Elephas maximus indicus: one gene and its partners. The protein of the gene in region 3 purifies or fractionates together with the protein of the main gene of each other region. This does not show direct contact. Links are inferred from orthologs where the notes say so. Each region holds a gene or a part of one and is shown on either strand. Other genes may lie near its edges.

What was found.
Region 1: the proteins of PRR3 (region 3) and RPUSD3 purify together in Homo sapiens (co-immunoprecipitation; 3 studies listed by BioGRID and IntAct, with this or other methods). This does not show direct contact. The link is inferred for Elephas maximus indicus from reciprocal best matches to the Homo sapiens genes PRR3 and RPUSD3.
Region 2: the proteins of PRR3 (region 3) and DHX37 purify together in Homo sapiens (co-immunoprecipitation; 3 studies listed by BioGRID and IntAct, with this or other methods). This does not show direct contact. The link is inferred for Elephas maximus indicus from reciprocal best matches to the Homo sapiens genes PRR3 and DHX37.

What each region holds. Positions count from the first base shown.
Region 1 is NC_064838.1:34,811,725-34,818,265, reverse strand, and holds the start of RPUSD3 (mitochondrial mRNA pseudouridine synthase RPUSD3), read left to right. Parts: upstream 1-2,548; coding exon 2,549-2,673; intron 2,674-2,960; coding exon 2,961-3,100; intron 3,101-4,044; coding exon 4,045-4,089; intron 4,090-4,189; coding exon 4,190-4,289; intron 4,290-6,000; coding exon 6,001-6,108; intron 6,109-6,194; coding exon 6,195-6,279; coding exon of another isoform or gene 6,280-6,283; intron 6,284-6,472; coding exon of another isoform or gene 6,473-6,502; coding exon 6,503-6,541. UniProt on the Homo sapiens protein: Catalyzes uridine to pseudouridine isomerization (pseudouridylation) of specific mitochondrial mRNAs (mt-mRNAs), a post-transcriptional modification necessary for their translation.
Region 2 is NC_064840.1:5,653,839-5,660,379, reverse strand, and holds the start of DHX37 (probable ATP-dependent RNA helicase DHX37), read right to left. Parts: upstream 4,393-6,541; 5' UTR 4,306-4,392; coding exon 4,200-4,305; intron 1,193-4,199; coding exon 1,023-1,192; intron 1-1,022. UniProt on the Homo sapiens protein: ATP-binding RNA helicase that plays a role in maturation of the small ribosomal subunit in ribosome biogenesis. Required for the release of the U3 snoRNP from pre-ribosomal particles.
Region 3 is NC_064819.1:90,904,139-90,910,679, reverse strand, and holds the start of PRR3 (proline-rich protein 3), read right to left. Parts: upstream 3,612-6,541; 5' UTR 3,415-3,611; coding exon 3,309-3,414; intron 2,646-3,308; coding exon 2,583-2,645; intron 700-2,582; coding exon 409-699; intron 160-408; coding exon 53-159; 3' UTR 1-52. Other genes in the region: GNL1 (guanine nucleotide-binding protein-like 1), read left to right, coding at 4,556-4,628, 5,040-5,205, 5,567-5,703, 5,845-5,996, 6,096-6,167.

The DNA.
Region 1 (6,541 bases), on a different chromosome or scaffold from region 3:
TTTTAGACAAACCTAGGTTATCAAAGCTAGAGTCTGGAGACTTAGTGCAGGCAGCTGACCCAGAATCCTGCAGCTCTGTGTGGAAGGAGCTGCCAAAGCTGGTAGAGAAGCACTTGCTATTCTGGGCTCTCCTGCTCTTGCAGTTTTTGCTGGAGGCCTGGCTCAGGGTCAGGCTGCCTCCATGGGCTGGCCTTCTTGCAGGAAGCCCCAATGTTTCCCCAGCACAGAAGGTATTCCCATCAACCCTTGCTGAAGCCGTGGTCTGCCTGTCCCTCATGTGAAGTTACTGATCGATGATTTAGGTTAGGGTGGGGGTGGAAGCTTGGCATTTGTCCCAAGCTCCTTCAAATGAAGAAGAACGCAGCATCAAGATTGGATGAAAACTTATTAACAACCTGTGATATGCAGATGACACAACCTTTCTTTCTAAAAGTAAAGAGGACTGGGAGCACTTACTGATGAAAATCAAAGACTACAGCCTTCAGTATGAATTACATATCAACATAAAACAAAAATCCTCACAACTAGACCAATAAGCAACATCATGATAAATGGAGAAAAGAAAATGTGAATCATTTTACTTGGATTCACAATCAACACCCATGGAAGCAGCAGTCAAAAAATCAAATGACACATTGCATTGGGCAAATCTGCTGGAAAAGACTTCTTTGAATGTTAAAAAGCAAAGATGTCGCTTTGAGGATTAAAGTGTGCCTGACCCAAGCCATGGTATTTTCAATCGCCTCATACGCATGTGAAAGCTGGACAATGAATAAGGAAGACTGAAAAATTGATGCCTTTGAACTATAGGGTCGCTATGAGTCAGAATTGACTCGACGGCAGTGGTATTTTTTTTTTTTTAATTATAGTATTGGTGAATATTGAAAATACTATGGATTACCAAAAGAACAAACTAGTCTGTCTTGGAAGAAATACACCCAGAATGCTCCTTGGAAGCAAGGATAGCGAGACTTCATCTTATGTGCTTTGGACATGTTACCAGGAGGGACCAGTCCCTGGAGAAGAACATCATGCTTGGTAAGGTAGAGGGTCATCAAAAAAGAGGAAGATCTTCAACAAGATGGATTAACACAGTGGCTGTAACAATGGACTCAAACAGAGGAGTGATTTTGAGTATGGCACAGGACCAGGCAGTGTTTCATTCTATTGTACATAGGGTCTCTATGAGTTGGAACCAACTTGATGGCACCTCCCAACAATAACAATCACAGTATAGAGCCCATGATGTACTTTGCTTTTTTTCACTTATCTTCTCATTTCTCCTCATTGCTCCCTCCCTCTGCTTACCCCTTTCTTCTCCCCCTCCCACACCTTTTCCTCCTGGTGGATTTTTGTTAGTTCTTCACAAGTCATCTCAGATGGCCCTTTGCTTGGAAGCTTTCTCTGATCTGTGATTTCACCTCTGCCCATCATCGCACTTCTCTCAGCGTCTCCACAGCGTTTAGCAAGGTGAATTGTAATGCTATGACCCCAATCTTCTGTCAACTCAATGACCTTCTGTAGGCAGGGCCTGAGTTTTGTGGATCTGTGTTTTCAGCACAGAGATTGCAAGGGTCTTGCAACCAGCATAGAGTTTGTTGTTGTTGTTAGGTACCCTGCAGTTGATTTCCACTAATAGCAACCTAATGTGAGTGGAACTGCCCTGTAGGGTTTTCTTGTAATCTGTATGGAAGCAGTTGCCAGGTCTTTCTCCTTCAGAGTTGCTGCAGTGGGTTCCACTGGGTGGGTTCAAACCACCAACCTTTCAGTTAGCAGCCCAGCACTTAACCATTTTGCCACCAGGGCCCCTGGCATAGAGTTAGCATTAAAAAAATATTGACTGACTTATGTATTAAATTTATTTTGGAAACCCTGGTGGCGTAGTGGTTAAGAGCTAGGCTGCTAACCAAAAGGTCGGCAGTTCGACTCCACCAGACGCTCCTGGGAAACTCTATGGGGCAGTTCTACTCTGTCCTATAGGGTCGCTATGAGTCGGAATCGACTGAAAGGCAATGTTTTTTGGGGGGGGGAGAAGGGGGGTTAATAGATTTCACCACTGGACAATTTGTTTCCTAGTTTTGAAATTTGTTTTATTTTGCTTTGACAAGTAACGCTGTAGTTAATGTCTTTCTGCCTTTTTGGCCTTTTTCTCCGTTTGGATTATGCAACAGGCTGTGTTCTAGGGACAGGTTTACTGGACCAAAGGATGTGGGATTTTTTTTTTGCCAATTTGCCTTACGAAATTGTGCTTCAGTGGTGTTTTTCTGAGGCCAGGAAGCTCCTAAAAGTTGGAATGATGATCAGAGAACCTTGAACTTTCGTCCCAGTTTTGGTCCCGCCGTGCGCCTCAGTTTTCCCGAAAGCACAAAGTACGGATTTATTTATTTCCTTCTACCGACTCGACAGTAGTGGGTTGGTGGGCGGACCGGCAGAGGCAAAGCTCCGCCTCCTCACGGTTCTGAGCGCAGTCTCCTCGCTTATTCCGATTGACAGCCAATCTGACCAATCAGCGCACTGCAGGTGTGTGGGGCTGTCCTTCTGGACACACATGCGCACTGTCTTCGCAGCGGAGATGGTGGGCTGCTGTATTTGGGGCCGGAGCTGGGTTGGCTGGCGGCGGGGCCCTGGGGTCCGTGCAGCGCTCGCGGCCGCAGGCTTTGGCACCAAGGCTGGGTGATTACGCTCTACCCTCGTGTCGGAGAGAGGCAGGGGCGGCTCTGTGCAGGATCTGGAGCTAGATAGACATGGACTCTAATGCCGGCTCTGCTGTGTGCCCCTAAGCTAATCATTCGGCCTGAGTCTCAGTTCTCTCCTCTATAAAATGGGGCCAGTTGAACCAGACTTTTCGGGAAGCTCAGCCCAGGCATTCTGAAGAGGAGGCAGGGTTTGGAGAGAGGTGTGTGGAGATAGGAATGCGGCACCGCGAAACATCCACCGGTTGCTTCTCTCATCCTTTCCAGGCATCAGCTGCAACCTCAAGGCTCCAGTAAACGGTCGGGACCCCGCAGGGACCAACCATGTCCCGGGCTACTACGGCCAGAGGACCTCAGTCGCGAGGAGCTGGTTGATGTGCTGACAGCAGCCGTGGTGGATCAGAAAGGTGAGGGGTGATAAGCACAGCTGCACAGAGACCCGCGAGGGGAGCCTGCGGCTTCGAGCCTTCTAGGAGGCTGGCTGGGTTCGAGAAGCCCTGCGCTCAAATCCCAGTTCTGCCTTCCACTAGTAGCACGAGCTAAGGCGAGCAACGTAACCTCTCTGAACTTCATCATCTTGGGATAGGGGTGTGTGTGTGTAGGGAGTGGGTGTGTGGAGGGGATGCAAATAACTAGAGAGCCTTGCACTTACTAGGACTCAGTTATGGGAATTTCTATAGTAATAAATTATTTTTTATCGACAGACAAAACCCAGGCTTTGGAGTCAGATATCTAGGCTCTATACCAGCTTGCTATGTGGCTTTAGGAAAATCACTTAATTCCTCTGAGCCTCAGCTTCTCCATTCAGTGATTTATTGATTTTCTTAACTACTATTTTTGAGCACCTGCTATGGTCTGAGCACTGGCTGTACAGTGCTGAACAAGATAAATATGGTTTCTGCCCCCAGGGAGCCAACATTCTAGCAGGAGAAATGGATTAACCAGAAAATAAATGAACAAGTTACTTAACGGCGATCAGTGCTATGAATAAACTAAAACAGGGTGTTGTGATGGTGAGGGGCTGGGGAGGAAGGAGCAAACATTAGATTGGGGCTTCAGGCCTCTTTGTGGTGGTAATATATGAGCCAAGATGATATAGTAGGAGCCAGACATGTAAAAATCTGGGGCAGAGGAAATGGCAAGTGCAAAGGCCCTGAGGTGGCCTCAAATGGCATATTTGAGGGACAGAGAGAAGTTCAGTTTAGGATGGGGTTGATACCTCTTGACTGAGAGTTGTCATTGAGCTCACATGCTAACATACATGAGAAAGTGCTTTGTAAACTAAGGGTTGCACAAAGGTTAACTGTTGCTTTTGCTTCTGCCAGTGGTCATGTAACATCATGTATTTCAGGACCTCTAGTGACAGTCAACAAGCCACAGGGGCTGCCAGTAACAGGTAGGGATAGAGGGCAGGGGAAGGGAATGCTGTGAAAGGGGGTGTGACATCTAGCTATGGCCTCTGGGAGCAACCTGTAATTATCCTTCTTCTTTCCCAGGGAAACCAGGAGACCTGACACTGCTCTCAGTGCTGCCAGAGCTAAGCCAGTCACTGGGGCTCGGGGAGCGGGAGCTCCAGATTGTCCGAGCACCTGGGAAGTAAGTGGTAGGGGGTAATAAGAAGGTAGAAACAAAATAAAAAGCAAACCCATTGCCGCTGAGTCGATTCTGACTCATAGAGACCCTATAGGATACAGTAGAACTACCCCATAGGGTTTCCAAGGAGCGCCGGGTGTATTCAAACTGCCAACCTTTTGGTTAGAAGCCATAGCGCTTAACCACTACACCACCAGGGTTTCCAAAATAAGAAGGCAGGAGGCCAGGAAACCCTAAAAAAAAAAAAAGGTAGGAGGACAAGGAGCCACCTGGGGCGAGGAGACAGATGCTTGGGAATAAGCAAAGACAATTTCCAGACAAAGGTTTGGGATGACAGAGGTACGATGTGAGGGCTATGAAAAAGAGCAGGAAACCGACAGATCTTGGGTTCAAATCCCAACTGTTTTATTTACAAACTGTGTGAACCTGGGCAAAGAACAGAACCTCCCTGAGCCTCACCTCAGTTCCCTTAACTGTAAAACAGAGATAATAATACCTACCTCATGCTCACTGTGCAGGCATTTTCCCAATGCCATACCCATGGCAGGCATTGTTGGTCAATCCATGATACTCTTTCCTCCAGCTACCGTCAACTAGAGATGATACTTGAGATGAAATCTTTCTGCAAGTCCACAAACTCATGGGCTTGTGAAGAATTTGATTATTTAAGAGCTAATATATAGACCCATCAATCCCAGTCCTCAGTATATACCCAAAAGAAGTGAAGGCAAGAATGCATACAGATATCTGTATACCAGTGTTCACTGCAGCAGTTTTCACAATAGCCAAAAGTAGAAACAACCAAAATGTCCATCAGCAGATCGACTGATAAACAAAATGTGGTATATACACACAATGGAATATTATGCAGCCTTAAAGAGAAATGAAATCCTGCTGCATGTCACAACAAATGAACCTTGAAAACATTATGCTGAGCGAAATAAGTCAGTTGCGAAAGGACTGATCCCACTTATATGAAATAAGCAAATATATAGAAGCCAAAGATTTTTAACGGTTACCAAGAGTGAGAAGAGGGTGGAAGGGGGAGTTTTTGTTTGGGCGGCACTGGGTTTATGTTAATGGTGGTGGAATATTTTGGAAAAGGGTAGTGATAATGGTGGCCCAACCTAAAAAATATAATCAATGTCATCGAATTGTAAATATGGAAGTTGTGTTGGCAAATGTTGTAGTGTGTCTATTTTCATCACAATAAAAAGAAAAAAAGACCTAACATGTAAAATTCCTAGTACAGTATCTGGCATGTGGCAGACACTCAGCCGTGACCCCATGTGACAGAGTAAAACTGCTCCATAGGGTTTTCTAGGCTGTCATTTTTACAGAAGCAGGTCACTATGTCTTTCTCCCACAGAACTGCTGGGTGGGTTCGAACTACCAACCTCTCATTAAGCAGCCTAGCGCTTAACCATTGCACCACCATGGCTCCTTAGACACTCAGCAAATGGTGGTAATTTTTATGACATTTGGCTCTGAGCTCCCTGGTGGCCAGGGCAAAATGAGAAAAACATTGAGGTACACAGTCTTGTTATCAAACAAGGGGAAGCCTTACCTGTTCCTCAGGAGGATATCTGGGTTATTATAGTTCTGGTGTTACTGTTTGGCCTTCAGCAGGTCAGTGCCCCTTTCTAGGGGTCTCCTTTTTTGTGGGTGCACCCCTCAGAGACTTTAAGTTGTGTGATTTGTCCTCTTCCTCCAGGGATTCCTCTGGGCTTGTACTCCTTTCCAGTTGTCCCCAGACTGCAAGTCGCCTCCAGAAGTTCTTCACTCACTCATGCAGAGTCCAAAGACCGACAGCCACCTACTGGTGAGAAGCCCTGGGAGGCTCCCAGGGCAGTAGGGAGGTCCTAGCAGGCCACTCTGCAACCTCCTCCTGCCTTTTTCTCCCTGCAGTGCCATCACTGATGGGATCCCAGCTACCTCTGAGGGAAAGATCCAAGCGGCTTTGAAATTGGAACACATTGATGGGGCCAATCTTGTGAGTAAGGGTCTGACTGAGGAAGAGAAGGGTCCTTCCAGACAGTGTCCCTGACAGAGGAATCAGGGGTATAGACTTGGGGTGGCTGGCTCTCCTGTCCCCTAAAACAGGTAAGTGACCACTGCCCACACTGTGGCCCTGTCCTGAGTCTGCTCAGGAAGGGTCTGGGTATAGCTCCCAGTCATGTGCAAAGCTTATTTATTTTGGGGGGCTGGCATTGCAGGTAGTTCCAGTGAAGCCTCCTTCCCGGAAGGACATCCTG
Region 2 (6,541 bases), on a different chromosome or scaffold from region 3:
ATTCAACTTTTCACATCATGACCTTCTCTTCAAAAAGGTGGTGAGGCTCTAAAGATAAGTGCAGTATCGCTAACACCTGAAGTCTTTTTAAATCAACGGTCAGGTTACAACTGCACTGCTGCACGTTGTTAACAGATGCAAGCTTTGGGCGGCTGGTCCAGTAGTGATGGTAACACAACACCATGAATACACTGGAACCCACTGAACTGTACACGTTGAAGGGTGAAAATGTTGGATTTTATATTAAAGGACTGTTACTGTGAGTAAAATAAGGAAAGCAGTTCGAAATTCTCTAAAATTAAAAAATAAATAACACAAAATGACCTAAAAATAGCTTAACCCAGTGCCTAAAAAGTTTAAAAACAAAATAGCTTAGTTTAATTAAGAAAGAATGTCTGAGCATTGTGCTGTTTTAAGAACCGCCGTGGGATCAAACTGACAACAGCCAATTCAAAAGACTAGAAGGGAACCTAAGGGGTCAGTGAGTTTATGTTCATAGGGGAGGAACAAGTTGGAAAATGAGTGTGAGAACCGTGGTACAACCGAAGAGTATAATCAATGTCACTGAATTGTACATGTAGAAATCGTTGAATTGGTTTATGTTCTGCTGTGTATATTCTCAACAAGAATAACAAAAATTAAAAAAAAAAAAAAAAGAGAGCATTGATCTACGTACTCCCCAGCTAACAAACTAACATCAGGGCCTCAGCATACCTGGACACATGCTAGATTGACTGAGACCCAAGGAGCTCCCTGCCGGAAGAGTTTGAACACTCTAGAACTGTGTGTCCAGTACAGTAACTGCGGCCACATATAGCTATCCGAATTTAAATTTATTAAAATTAAATAAAATAAAAAATTTCAATTTCTCAGTCACACTGGCCACATTTCAAATACTCAGTAGCCACATGCAGGCAGACATAGAACATTTCCTTTATTCTAGAATGTTCTACTGGATGGCACTGTGGGATGCAGACCCCACATCTCTCCCCACTCTCCAGCCCTCAGAGAGTGGGGCGTACCTGGCTCTTTTTTTCCTTCTGTTCTAAGATTTTCTGCAGCATTTTCTTCTCTTTCTTGGTCAGAGGTTTCTTCTCCTTCTTCGATAGGGGAGGGGCTTTGGTTTTCTTCTTCTTCTTCCCCAGAAGAACGAGTGCATTGCTTGCATCAATGCCTTTCAACGTCCCCTTATCTGAAAAGATATGCTTGGCTCATCCACAGCCCCGGAGGCCAGACACTTATGATGCACACATACCATGGTGTCACTGCCAGCTGCCCTCCTGCCCCATCTGTAAACCCCTGTACACACAGAACCAACAGGTGTAGGCCTGGGGCAGGAGGAAGCTTAGTGTGTCTCAGTTAACAGCAAGGATGCTGGTATAAGTGCAACAGACAGAAAGGGCGGGGGGGAATAGGAATAGGAAAAACCAAAACCAGTTGCCACAGAGTTGACTCCAACTCATGGTGACCTCTCGTGTGTCAGAGTAGAACTGAGCTCCATAGGGTTTTCAGTGGCTGGTTTTTCAGAAGGAGATCACCAGGCCTTTCTTCCAAGGTACCTCTGGGTGGACTCGAACTGCCAACCTTTTAATCAGTGGCCTAGCACTTAACCACTGCACCACTCTGGGGCTCCACGGGGACAGAGAAGGTCAAAGTGGAGCGGAGGCAGCAGGATCACATAGGGCTGGAGGCAGGATTTTATCCTATATGTGCAGAAATTCATTAGAAGGTTTTAAGCAGGAGTGCAATCTGACTTATGTTGCTGAAAGATCCCACTGGCCTTTGAGGAAGGCGAGGATAAACACAGATGTCTCATTTTGATGTTAGAAACAACTTCTCCCAAATCTTTTGAGTACAAGAGGCCTCAGCCCCTCTGCTCTGATCACCCAGTTAAAAATGTCACCCCGGTGTCTTCTGCCTTCTTGGTGGGACCCTCTCATGCTCTGAGCTGTTGCTGTTCCTACAATGGTTGATGTCCGTCATGGGACATGCCACACCTCCACCTTCTTCACTTTTCAAAGCATCCTTACTTCAGCCATAAACATGTTTCCCCAGAATTCCAAAACTCTAAGAACAGGTAGGACAGCTATTACCATTGGTCATGTTTTACAGATAAAGAAACACAGGCACAGAGAGTCAATCAGCCTCAACTCCCAGCCGATCTGCGCCACTTCCAAGAAGGGAATTCAGGCCACTGGAATCCCACCCTGCTGCCTTTCTGGCGCCCTCGCTGCCACCCAGGTTGAACCAGAATGTGGAACCTCAGAGCACACACTGGTGGATTGAGGACAACAGGCTTCTCCAGCAGCCCTGGCTCCCCTTCCCTCCCTCCGTCTCCAGAATCTGGGCCCATTCTTTCCTAATGCCTAACCTGCCAGGAGGAGCCCTGGTGGTGCAGTGGTTAAAGCTCTTGGCTGCTAACCAAATGGTCAGCAGTTCAAACCCACCAGCTGCTCTGAGGCAGCCTGCTTCCATAAAGATTACATCCTTGGAAACCCTATGCGGCAATTGTACCCTGTCCTACAGGGTTGCTACAGAAATAACTCAATGGCAGCGGGTTACTCTGCCAGGCCCTTCAGGAGCTTACATTCAAGCTGCTAGATGAGTTCAATTTAGTACACGTGCAGTTTCAGGAGCCTGCAAGACGTCCTTGTCCTTGAACCCACTCCATCCAGCTTTGCCTCAACTCTCCTCTGAAACTGCTCCTGTCGAGGTCACCCCCCTGCCAAGTGATAAACCTTATGGTCCTTCTCTCCCTCCCTGACTCTGAGGGTGAGTCTCCTCCCTGGTCCCCAGGGCCACCAGGCTCTCCACCCTCCTCACAGGTGCTCCATCTCTGTTGCAGACTCTTCCTGTCCTCCAGTCCTGACAGCCCCAGGCCTCAAGTCCGTTGACCTCTTCCCTGCTTGGTCCACACTCACTGCCTGAGTGAGCCATCCCATCTTCCGACTTTAGATAGTACCATCTAGATGAGGATGACTCCCAAACCGCTGTCTCTGCCTGGACCTGGCTCTCCTGAGCATCCGAATCACCAGCTGCCTGCCTGGATATCTAACGGGCATGCCAACCACTCACATACACAGCCATTCCCAGGCTACCCCCCACCCCCAGCGTCCTCCAGAGACTGAGCCCGAGGCCTGGGAATCATTCCTAACTCCTCCTCTGTTCTCATACAGGCACCGAGTCAGTCAGAAAATCCTGTCAACTCCACCTTCAAAATGCATCCTGAACCCAACCACTTCTCACCTCCTCCACCACTGACTCCTGTTCTGAATTAACGTGATAAACAGCTTCCTTGCCGATCACCCTTTTGTCCCCAAGGATTTCCCTCAACACAGCAGCCCAAGGGATGCCGTTAAAACCTAAGTCTAACTTGATTTGTAAATTTCACTTAAAGCACAATAAAAATTAACAAAAAAACCTAAGTCCAGGTTGTGTCCCTCATCTGCTCTAGACCCTCCCATGGCTCCCAGCTCCCTCAGAGTGAAAGCCAAAGTCTTCAGGATCCTACACGATCCGGCCGGTTCTTTCTGCCACTCTGGCCTCCTCCAGGTTTGACGCAAATAACACTTTCTGGGTGAGGCCTTACCCCCCTATCCCGCCTGGTCACCCTATGGAACACTGTAGCCCACCCCCACCCACCTCCTCTGTTTATATCCTTAGTATAGCCAGTTTTTTTTTTTTTTTATAGCCAGGTAATATTTTATACAGCTTAGCGTTTATCTTTGCCTCTCTCCTCCCAGAAGTATGTAAACTCAGGAAAGCAGGATTCTTTAAAATCTGTTTTCTGCTATGTCTCCAGGCGAATCTACTAGAAAGGAGGCGTCCGACCAGAAATGTCGAGGTCCTGAAGCTGAGCTGACAGGTCTGAAAGTTAAGGGTCGCTGGCACGGAGATTATAATCGAAGGCGCCAGAATGGATGAAATTATCTCGTTTTCTTGCCCGAATTCTCATGCTTTTATATAGGGTCGGACCCTATGCGAGAGAAATCCAGGCAAGGCCCGCATTCACTGTTAAATCTAGGCTGTACTGCCCTCCTGCCTTAGGGTCATCTGAAATGGGGGCTCCTCCCTAGGACCCCGCCCCAGAGTAGGGAAGGTAGGGCACAGTCCGGAGGGTCCCTGGCTCCGGGTCCTGGCGGCGTTGCCCTAGGCGACCCATCTTGTGGCTCCCAGCCCTCTGTCCCGAGATCCCTTACCCTCGAGTTCCAGCTGCACTGGAGGCGGCTCGGGGGGTCCCTTCGAGGGGCCAGGGCCCGCCTGCTGGCGCCCCTTGATGTTGTACCGCCGGCGCAGCTTCCCCATGGCGCTCGGATTCCGTGGGCCGACTCGCAACACTGTCCGAAGCCCAACCCACGTGGGTTGCCAGACCACCCGTCTACCTCGTGAGACTTCCGGGTTGAGCTCTCGCGAGAACTACGACGGCCTGGGTCACTGAGGGGTGGGGCTGGAGGCGGGATTGTGCGGAAAGGGGCGGGCAGAGGGGTGGGGCCAGGTGCAGGGAGGGCGGAGCCAGAGGCAGAAGAAGGTATCTATTTAAAACAAGACAAAAAAAAACCCTTGACGGGCCAGTCTATTCGAACTCACAGCGACCCTACTACAGGACAAAACGGAACTGCCCCACAAGGTTTCCAAGGCTGTAAATCCTTACGGAAGCAGACTGCCACATCTTTCTCCCCAAAGCGGCATCACCAGCGCTCCTCCAGGCACCTGTTAGAAACCTTTAAACTCTCTCATTACCACATTATACTGTAGTGTGCTCAGAAATAATGTATTTTCTGAATCCTATAATTATTTTAGGAATAGGACAGTTACATCGTACTGTCTTTTTTTTTTTAATAAGCATTATTTCGTTAAGGGCAAACATTTAAATTGACACACTCAAAAAGGTGAAGGCACTAGAAGTTATTTTAGAATTTTGGAAAGGATAAAGTTATCTTTTTTTAACTGCCCCAAGAAAAACACTTGCAGAACCTAGAACAACCTCTGGCTGCAGAGTAAAAAAAAAAAAAAAAATTTTAGGTAAGCAATAAATATTTGCTGAATGAAGGAATTAATGAGTGAAGAGTGTGATTGAATTTGGATAAGCTCCCTAAATCCTGCAAAGAAAAAAAAAATCACAATAAACCAAAATCTACAAATAGTGCACCAGAGGATTTAGGTAGTCTACATATGAACATTTTTTAGTTATAATTTCAATTGATTTTTGCAAAAAAAAAGTTATAGATGATAGAGATCTACCATTTCTTCTTTAAATAGATTTACTTAAGTAAATAAAAAGTGCATCCATTCAAAAAACATTAAAAAAAAACATTAAGTAGGTAATAATATATTTTCCTGTATTTCTTTCTAAAATATTATTTACCAAAGAATTAGCCTCCAGAAGACATAAAGAACATCCTATAAATCAAGAAGAAAAAAAGACATATACACAACATGGATGAATCTCATAAATATAATGTTGAACAAAAGAAGCTCCGTTTACATAAAGTTCAAAAACAAGCAAAATGAATCTCCTAAATTTGGGAGAGGGGGGACACAGTAAACGGGAAGAGATAAAGGGGGCTTTTCTGGGGCTGCTCACGCCCCCTTTCTGTATTTGAGCATTGGTTACCCTGTGTTCAGTTTGTGAAAATGCATTGTATTATGTATGTATGTAACATCTCAATAAAAAAGTTTACTTAGAAAAAAAGAAGGCAAATATTTAAAAAAAAAATGCTGTAAGGATATGAACAGAAACCTGGTGGTATAGTGGTTATGAGCTCGGCTGCAAACCAAAAGGTCGGCTAGCCGCTCCTCGGAAATCCTATGGGGGCAGCTCTACTCTGTCCTATAGGGTCGCTGTGAGTCGGAATTACGGCAATGGGTTTTGGTTGTCTGGGTTTTTTTCAAGGATACGAACAGCCAGTTCACATAGGAGCAAATCAAATGGCCAACACATTTAGGAAAACCTCATCGGGAACCCAGAAAACGTACATTCAAACATAAGACACGTTTTATTCTCAGATTGGCAAAAATTAAGTTTCATTTCCCTAGTTGTCTCAAAAAAAACCTCTTATTGGACTTGGTTTGCTTGACTTAGGATGGAAACCAGGTTTTCAAAATGCATTTGATTATTAGGTTCTTAACTCTACTAGGAGCCCTGGGAGCACAGTGGTTTTGAAATCAATACTCCTCTCCCTTTTGGGGCCATTTATTTGTAGAAGAAATGAGTCACTTGTCCTACAGATGCCACACATTTCGGACTTGGGTGATTGCTTCTGCTGCTTCTCATTTGTTCTCTGTCCCCCGTTTCCTGTAAACTGTCAGTTAGACCTAGAGGCCTCATCAGGTCGAGTCCATCACAGGTGGCCCCCGCTACCTCCTGACACTGCCATTGATGGGGGTCTCGGGTCAGGGCGAGCTGGTCGCTCCACTTTCACCCCCTCATCTTAGTCCCTTTCCGTGACCGTCGCCTGGATCCGTCGTTTCGTGAAGGGGTGTAGGACGATTTTCCAATTCTCACGTTCCCTCCTCATTTATTAGCTGATCTTTTCTAACC
Region 3 (6,541 bases):
TGGCCGCTAGGTCACAGAGGGCTCGTTCCAGCCTGGATGGGAAGGCACAGTCTCACAGAGGAGGTCCATTGACGCCTGGATGGTAGAAGGCACAGAAGTCTTCATATCGACAATGGCCCTTTTTGGCAAAGTGTCGGCAGACGGGGCGGTCGGATTTGTCTGTGAACGAGTGAAAATTGGGCAGTTTAAAACCTGAGTAGGAAAAGAAACAAATGTCACAAAAAGCAGAGAGAGAGAGAGAGGAAGGTCAGATTTCCTACTCCTTATCGTTTCCGGGTATTTTGGAATGGTAGTCTTTATGCTGGGAGAAGAAACATTCAGGACTTTTACTTCAAGCAAAAAAAAGAACAGCCTAAAGGAGAAGAGTCATGGATATTCTCTGTACAGGCTAAAAATAATGGAGCTCACCTTCCGTAACCTGTGGTCCATCTTTGGGAGGGCAGGTATTCTTGATGAGAGACCAGCTTTTGAGCCTTCGAGGGTTTCTTTGTTCTTTGTGAAAGCCTCCCCTGGAGGGACCCCCATGGCCTGGCCCAGGAAAAGGAGGTTCAGCATTGACTCCCCACCAACCATGACCATATGGGCCAAATCTGGGACCTAGGCCTCCCCGCATTGGCCCTCTACCCCGGGGAGGAGGTGGGAGACTCAGCAGTGGTGGAATCAATGGTCCCCTTGATCCTGGAGGACCTCTATGAAGAGCTGCAAAGAGAAACAAAGAGAGGAAGACACAGAAAGGTGATCAATAGCCAGCTTAATCCCGATACAGAAATCCTGATCTTATTTTTACTTTTTATTGAAGTACAATATACATACAGAATACACCAGATTTAAGTATATAACTCAATTATCACAAAGTAAACACACCTGTTACCACCACCCAGGTGAAGAAATAGAACCTTATTAACACTTCATAAGTCCCCCCATGTGCCCCTGCCCCTTACTATCCCGCCCTCCTCCCAAAGATAACCACTATCCTGACTTCTAACACCATAGGTTAGTTTTTGCCTGTTTTTGAACTTCGCATAAATGGAATCATACAGTCTGCATTCTTTTGTGTCTGGCTTCTTTCGCTCAACATCATGTTTGTGAGATTCATCCAGGTTGGTTGCCTGTAGCAGTAGTTCGTTCATTTTCATTGCAGTGTAGTATCCCATTGCATGCATATACAACAATTTATTTATCCATTCTACTGGTGATGGACATGTGGGTGGTTTCCAGTTTGGGGCTATAACGAAAAATGCTGCTGTGAACATTTTTATACATGTCTTTGTCACACATTATGTATGCATTTCTGTTGAGTATATACGTAGTAGAGGAACTGCTGGGCCACAGAGTACATGTATGTTCAAGTTTAATAGCTAATGTCAATTTTTTTCAGTGTGGTTGTACCAATTTGTACTCCCACTGGCAGTTGTTCCATATCTTTGACAACACTTGCTATTGCCAGTCTTTCATTTTAGTCATCTGGCGAGTGTGAAAAGTGGTGTTGTTTATAACTTGCATTCATTTGATGACTAATGTTGAGTATTTATTCACATGTTATTGGCCAGTCAGATCTCCTCTTTTCTGATGGTGCCTGTTCTCATCTTTTGCCATTTCTCTAACAGACTGTCTGGAAGAGCTCTTTAATACAAGCTCCACATTGATTACATACATTGCACACATCTTCTCTCACTCTATCACTTCCTTTTGAGTTTTTTTGTTAGTTGCCCTCAAGTTGATTCCGATTTATGGCAACCCCATATATGCAGAGTAGAACTGCTTCCTAGGGTTTTCAAGGCTGTGATCCTTGGAAGCAGACTGCCAGGCCTATCTTCCAAGGCCCCACGGGTGGGTTGGAACTGCCAATCTTTCGGCCAGTAGTCGAGCACTTAACTGTTTGTGCCACCCAGGGACTCCTTTGCGCTCTTAAATAAACAGAAGTTTATATTTTTTAGCATAGTTCAATTTAGTGATCTTTTCTCTACGGTTAGTGTGTGTGTTTCTTGGTGGTAAGAACTTTTTTCTAGAATTATTCTTCTACTTTTCACACTTATAGATCTACAGTCCACTTGGAATTGATTTTTGTACCCAGTATGATTAAGAGTTTGTTTTTTCCCACACGAACATACAATTGACCCAGCACCATTTACTGAAAAGACCACCTTTCTAATGCCACCTTCATCATAATACATATACGTGTAGGCTTGTTTCTGAGCTCTGTGCTGTTCTATTGACTTATAGGTCTACCACCGTGCTAATACCATACTGTTATAATTAAGTTTTGATATTCAGAGTAAGGCCTCTATTTTATTCTTCAAGACTATCTTGGCAGTTTATCACTCTGACATGTAGGTGGAATCTTTATCTCCACAAGAAAATGATAGAATTCTGACTGGGAATGCATTGAAACTATGGATCAATTTGGGAAGAAATGACATTTTTACAACATTGAGTTTCCACTCTGTGACTATCAACATCTCTCCATTTACTTAGGCACAGAAGCACTGGTCTTTTGATTTAAGGTCCCGCCTGGGTTTTACTCCCTCCCTTGCTCCCTTCTCTAGGATTTAATCCAAGGTTCAGGGCCCCTTCCTTCTCACCTGACTTGGGGTCACCAGGCTTTCCATTGGCCATGGGGGGAGGGCCCAGAAGGCTGGGTGGTCCTGAGAGTAGACATGAAAATATGGTCACTAGAGTGGACTAAATGACTGAGTTCTTACGTGTGTTTTTCTTCTATTACACATTTCTTAGTCCAACCAACAAAGCCAAATATATTCTCAGCCATGTTGCCCAGTTCTCACTCCACTTATCTGCCCTTTCTCTGCAAACCTGTGTCAGGGTTTGCAAAAAGTAGAGACTCAGCCCTGGGGAGAATAATGTGGGAAGGATACTGACAACTTTCTATTTTTCTTACAGTGTTGATATTCAAAACATCCCAGGTGATTCTCCTTCCCATCCCTCCCCCCCCAGAGAGCAGCTGAGAAAAGGCTGCACTTTCACCTTTCCTGTGAAAATCTGATCACAAATCATCCTAGTCACCCCAATCTGCAACCTCTCTTCGGCTCCTCTCCCCTGCCGTTCTGCGGCTGCGCGCACGAGCTCTTTATCCTCTCCTCCCTGCCTTCTCTAAAAAGGTTTGGGGGTCAGATTAAGGTTGAAAGTCCAAATAAGAGAACTCCACGTTCAGGGCTTCATCCCAGATAGGCCCCCTCTCCCAGCGCGTGCACCCTTCCTTCTTCCATTAGAGGATCTCCTCCCCACCTTGTCAGCCCCTAGCCCCTCGCCAGGACGGGCTGACAGGCAGGTGCACCTCCCGGGCTCCTCACCGATGGGACTTCTGTCGTCCTCGTCTCCAGTCTCTCCCGGCTCTGGCAGTGGGGGCTGCGGCGGTGGAAGCTGCTGCTGCTGATTCTGCTTCTTTCGTTTTGGCATCGTGGCTGCGGGAATGGCTGCAGTAGAATTTGGAGGGCAGTGAGGAAGGGGCAAGCTGGGATTCTGTTTCCGCTTCCGGGGGGACGGTGGACAGTGAGGCTGAGACTCCCGCCATTTCACTTCCGGAAGGCTGCGGGGAGTCTCTGCTGCAGCCGCATCCTCAGGTCTTTGCCAGGCATGGACGCGATGTAGAACCTTCTCTTTGCTGCGTTTTTATAGAGGCTTAAAAAATATTCTATTCTTCCTCGCCGCAGAGAAAACACCACAACCCGTTCCTCACAGTGTGCCATATAGTCGAGAGGGTCTTGGGCCAGGAGGCCTGAGAAGCGAGGGCTGTCGCATCCTAAGATCGCCACATCCGGTACCCGGTTACCATGGTAACAGCTGCAGGCACAACTTCGTGCCCTCCGACCTCTCTCCGAAAGTCTTTATCCCATGTAGGTTTTCCTCCTCGCCCGCGCTTATACATAAATCTGTAAACTCGCTCCTTGTCATCATTCTCACAAAGAATTTGGGTCCCAGCAGAGCAGCGCCCGAGATTCTTCAGATCGCCACCTGCCCTTCAGGACCTCTGCCCCGGCCCCTAGCTGTAGCCCAGCAACCTGTATTCACTCCTGGGACGCGCCGTCTCGGCTCTCCACTAAGGTCAAGCCTCCGGGTTGGTAAGGGAGCTTCTATGTGTCCCCGCCCCCTTCTCCCCTGGGTGGTAGGGCCCGCCCTCCGCTCCGCCTCCCCCTCCAGGTGAGTGGTAGCTTCTCGCCGGCCGCGCAAGGTAGTGATGACATACGTCTCCCCTCCTCCGATAGCGAGTTGGTAGCGTCCGTGACGAAGTTAGCCCGATCCTCCCACGCGCACCTCTTTCCTTGCCGCCGCTGCGCCCTCTCGGTGCGACCGGCTCTCATGCGCGGGTAGGCCACGCGGCATCATCCTCTCGCCACGCTCCTGGAGGGAAGTGACTGTATTTGCCCTGTCCGCCTTTCAGTCAGGCCGACGCGGTGAGTGGCCCGGCCCGCCCGCTGACGTCACCTGCTAGCCCCGCCCCTTCTAGGGTCCCGGGGCCCTGCGGCGGGGGCTGCCGGGGGGGAGTCAGTTGAGGCGGAGGGAGCTCGGCGGAGGGCGGGCCAGGTGTCTGGTCCGGGCCATGCCGAGGAAGAAGCCCTTCAGCGTGAAGCAGAAGAAGAAGCAGTTGCAGGACAAGCGAGAGCGGAAGCGAGGTCAGCGAGGGAGGAGGGGGCGGGGCTCGGGCTCCCGCACATCTGGAGGGAGAGGTGTGCCCTCCGCACCTCTGGGGGGCGTGGGAGGGGGGGAGCGCGCGACGACCCGCGCCGGCGATCGCAGAGGAGATTCCTCCACCTTAGCCCCCCGACATCTGGAAGGGATGGGGAAGGAGAGGGAGTTGGGGGAGGGGAATCCCTTCAGCTCGTACGGGGCGCCATCCCCGCAGCTCTCTGGAGGAGGGGTGAGTCCCCTCACGCAATTCCGGGGGGGTCCTGGGCCGACTGACTAGAAGGGCCCGGCCTCGAAAGAGGTGCGGTGGGGTGAGGAGGAGCCAGGCCGCCTGGGGAGGGGGATCTTATGGCCCCTGAGAACCGGCCGGCGCTGGCGTCACCGGCCCCTCCCAGCAGGGCTTCAAGATGGGCTGCGCTCCAGTTCCAACAGCCGCAGCGGGAGCCGGGAGCGGCGAGAGGAGCAAACCGATACCTCGGACGGGGAGTCTGTGACCCATCATATCCGCAGGCTCAACCAGCAGCCTTCCCAGGGGCTGGGCCCGCGAGGCTACGACCCAAATCGGTGAGGGTGGGCGGAGGGAGGGGGTGCCGGTCGGGGCCTCCCCGCCTACCCGGAAATCAGAACGCCAGGGGAAAGCGGGCTGCTGCTGGTGGAGGCTTGAAAGTGGAGTAGGTGGGGCTGGGATGCCTCTAGCGGTCCACAGTCATCTCTTTTAGAGGGTGGAGAGATTTTGGCTGTAGGAGGGTGAGGCTTAGGGGAAGGCCGAATATCCGTGAAAGAGGGACTTGGAGGAAGGCAAACCAAGAGAGGAAATTTGAACAAGTGTGGAGGGAAGGCTTTGAGAAGGTGCTGGTCCAAGAGGAGAGAAGATGGAGTTTGTGGCCACAGGATTGCACTGGATGCCTGGCCCCTGTCTCCTTAGATACCGGCTGCATTTTGAGCGGGACAGCAGGGAGGAGGTGGAGAGGAGAAAGAGAGCAGCCCGAGAACAAGTGCTACAGCCTGTCAGTGCCGAGGTGCTGGAGCTGGACATCAAGGAGGTCTATCAGCCTGGCTCAGGTGAGGGAGAGGTCAACACCAGGATATTTGGCACAGGGAGGGAGTTTGGAAGGGCCAGAGCTGACTGAGGAAGGCAGGGTTTGGGATGCACCCTTGAGTCCTGAAACTATCTTCATACTTGGACTTTTTTTGGTTTCCAAGTCCTGGACTTTCCCCGACGTCCTCCTTGGAGTTATGAGATGTCTAAGGAGCAACTCATGAGTCAGGAGGAACGGAGTTTCCAGGAGTATCTTGGGAAGATTCATGGGGCTTACACCTCTGAGAAACTCAGCTACTTTGAGCACAATCTGGAGGTGAGACTAGAGTTGGGTGTAGAGACCCATGGTCAAGTTGATTTGGGTGGGGGGGTGCTCTGGACTCAGGTTCTCTTCTACCATCTCTTGTCTCTTCAGACATGGAGGCAGCTGTGGCGAGTGTTAGAGATGTCTGACATTGTCTTGCTCATCACTGATATCCGACATCCAGTGAGTACTGGGAGGGGGGGAGGGTGGAGAGTGAAGGTAGGCCAGGGGGAGGAAGGTTCTTATGGAATAAAGGTCAGAGGCAGGAGTTGGGAGACAGCCATCTCATTTCATTTCTAGCCTCTCTATCCTGCGCCGATGTCTGCAGTCAGGGACTCAGTTCTTTATTCATCTGTTGTCATAGCTTGTCACTCCTTCTCTGGCTATCTCCTTCTCCCCTTCTTTTGACAAATAATTGTATATCTTGTTTCCCAGCCCACCAGAGGTAGGCCAATAGAAAGTCGCAGTGGGGAACTCTAAGAGATTCTACGGAGGCGACTGGGGGCTTTTCCTACCCTCCCCCCCAAAGATGCTCTTTCTTCCTTATCTCATTTCTC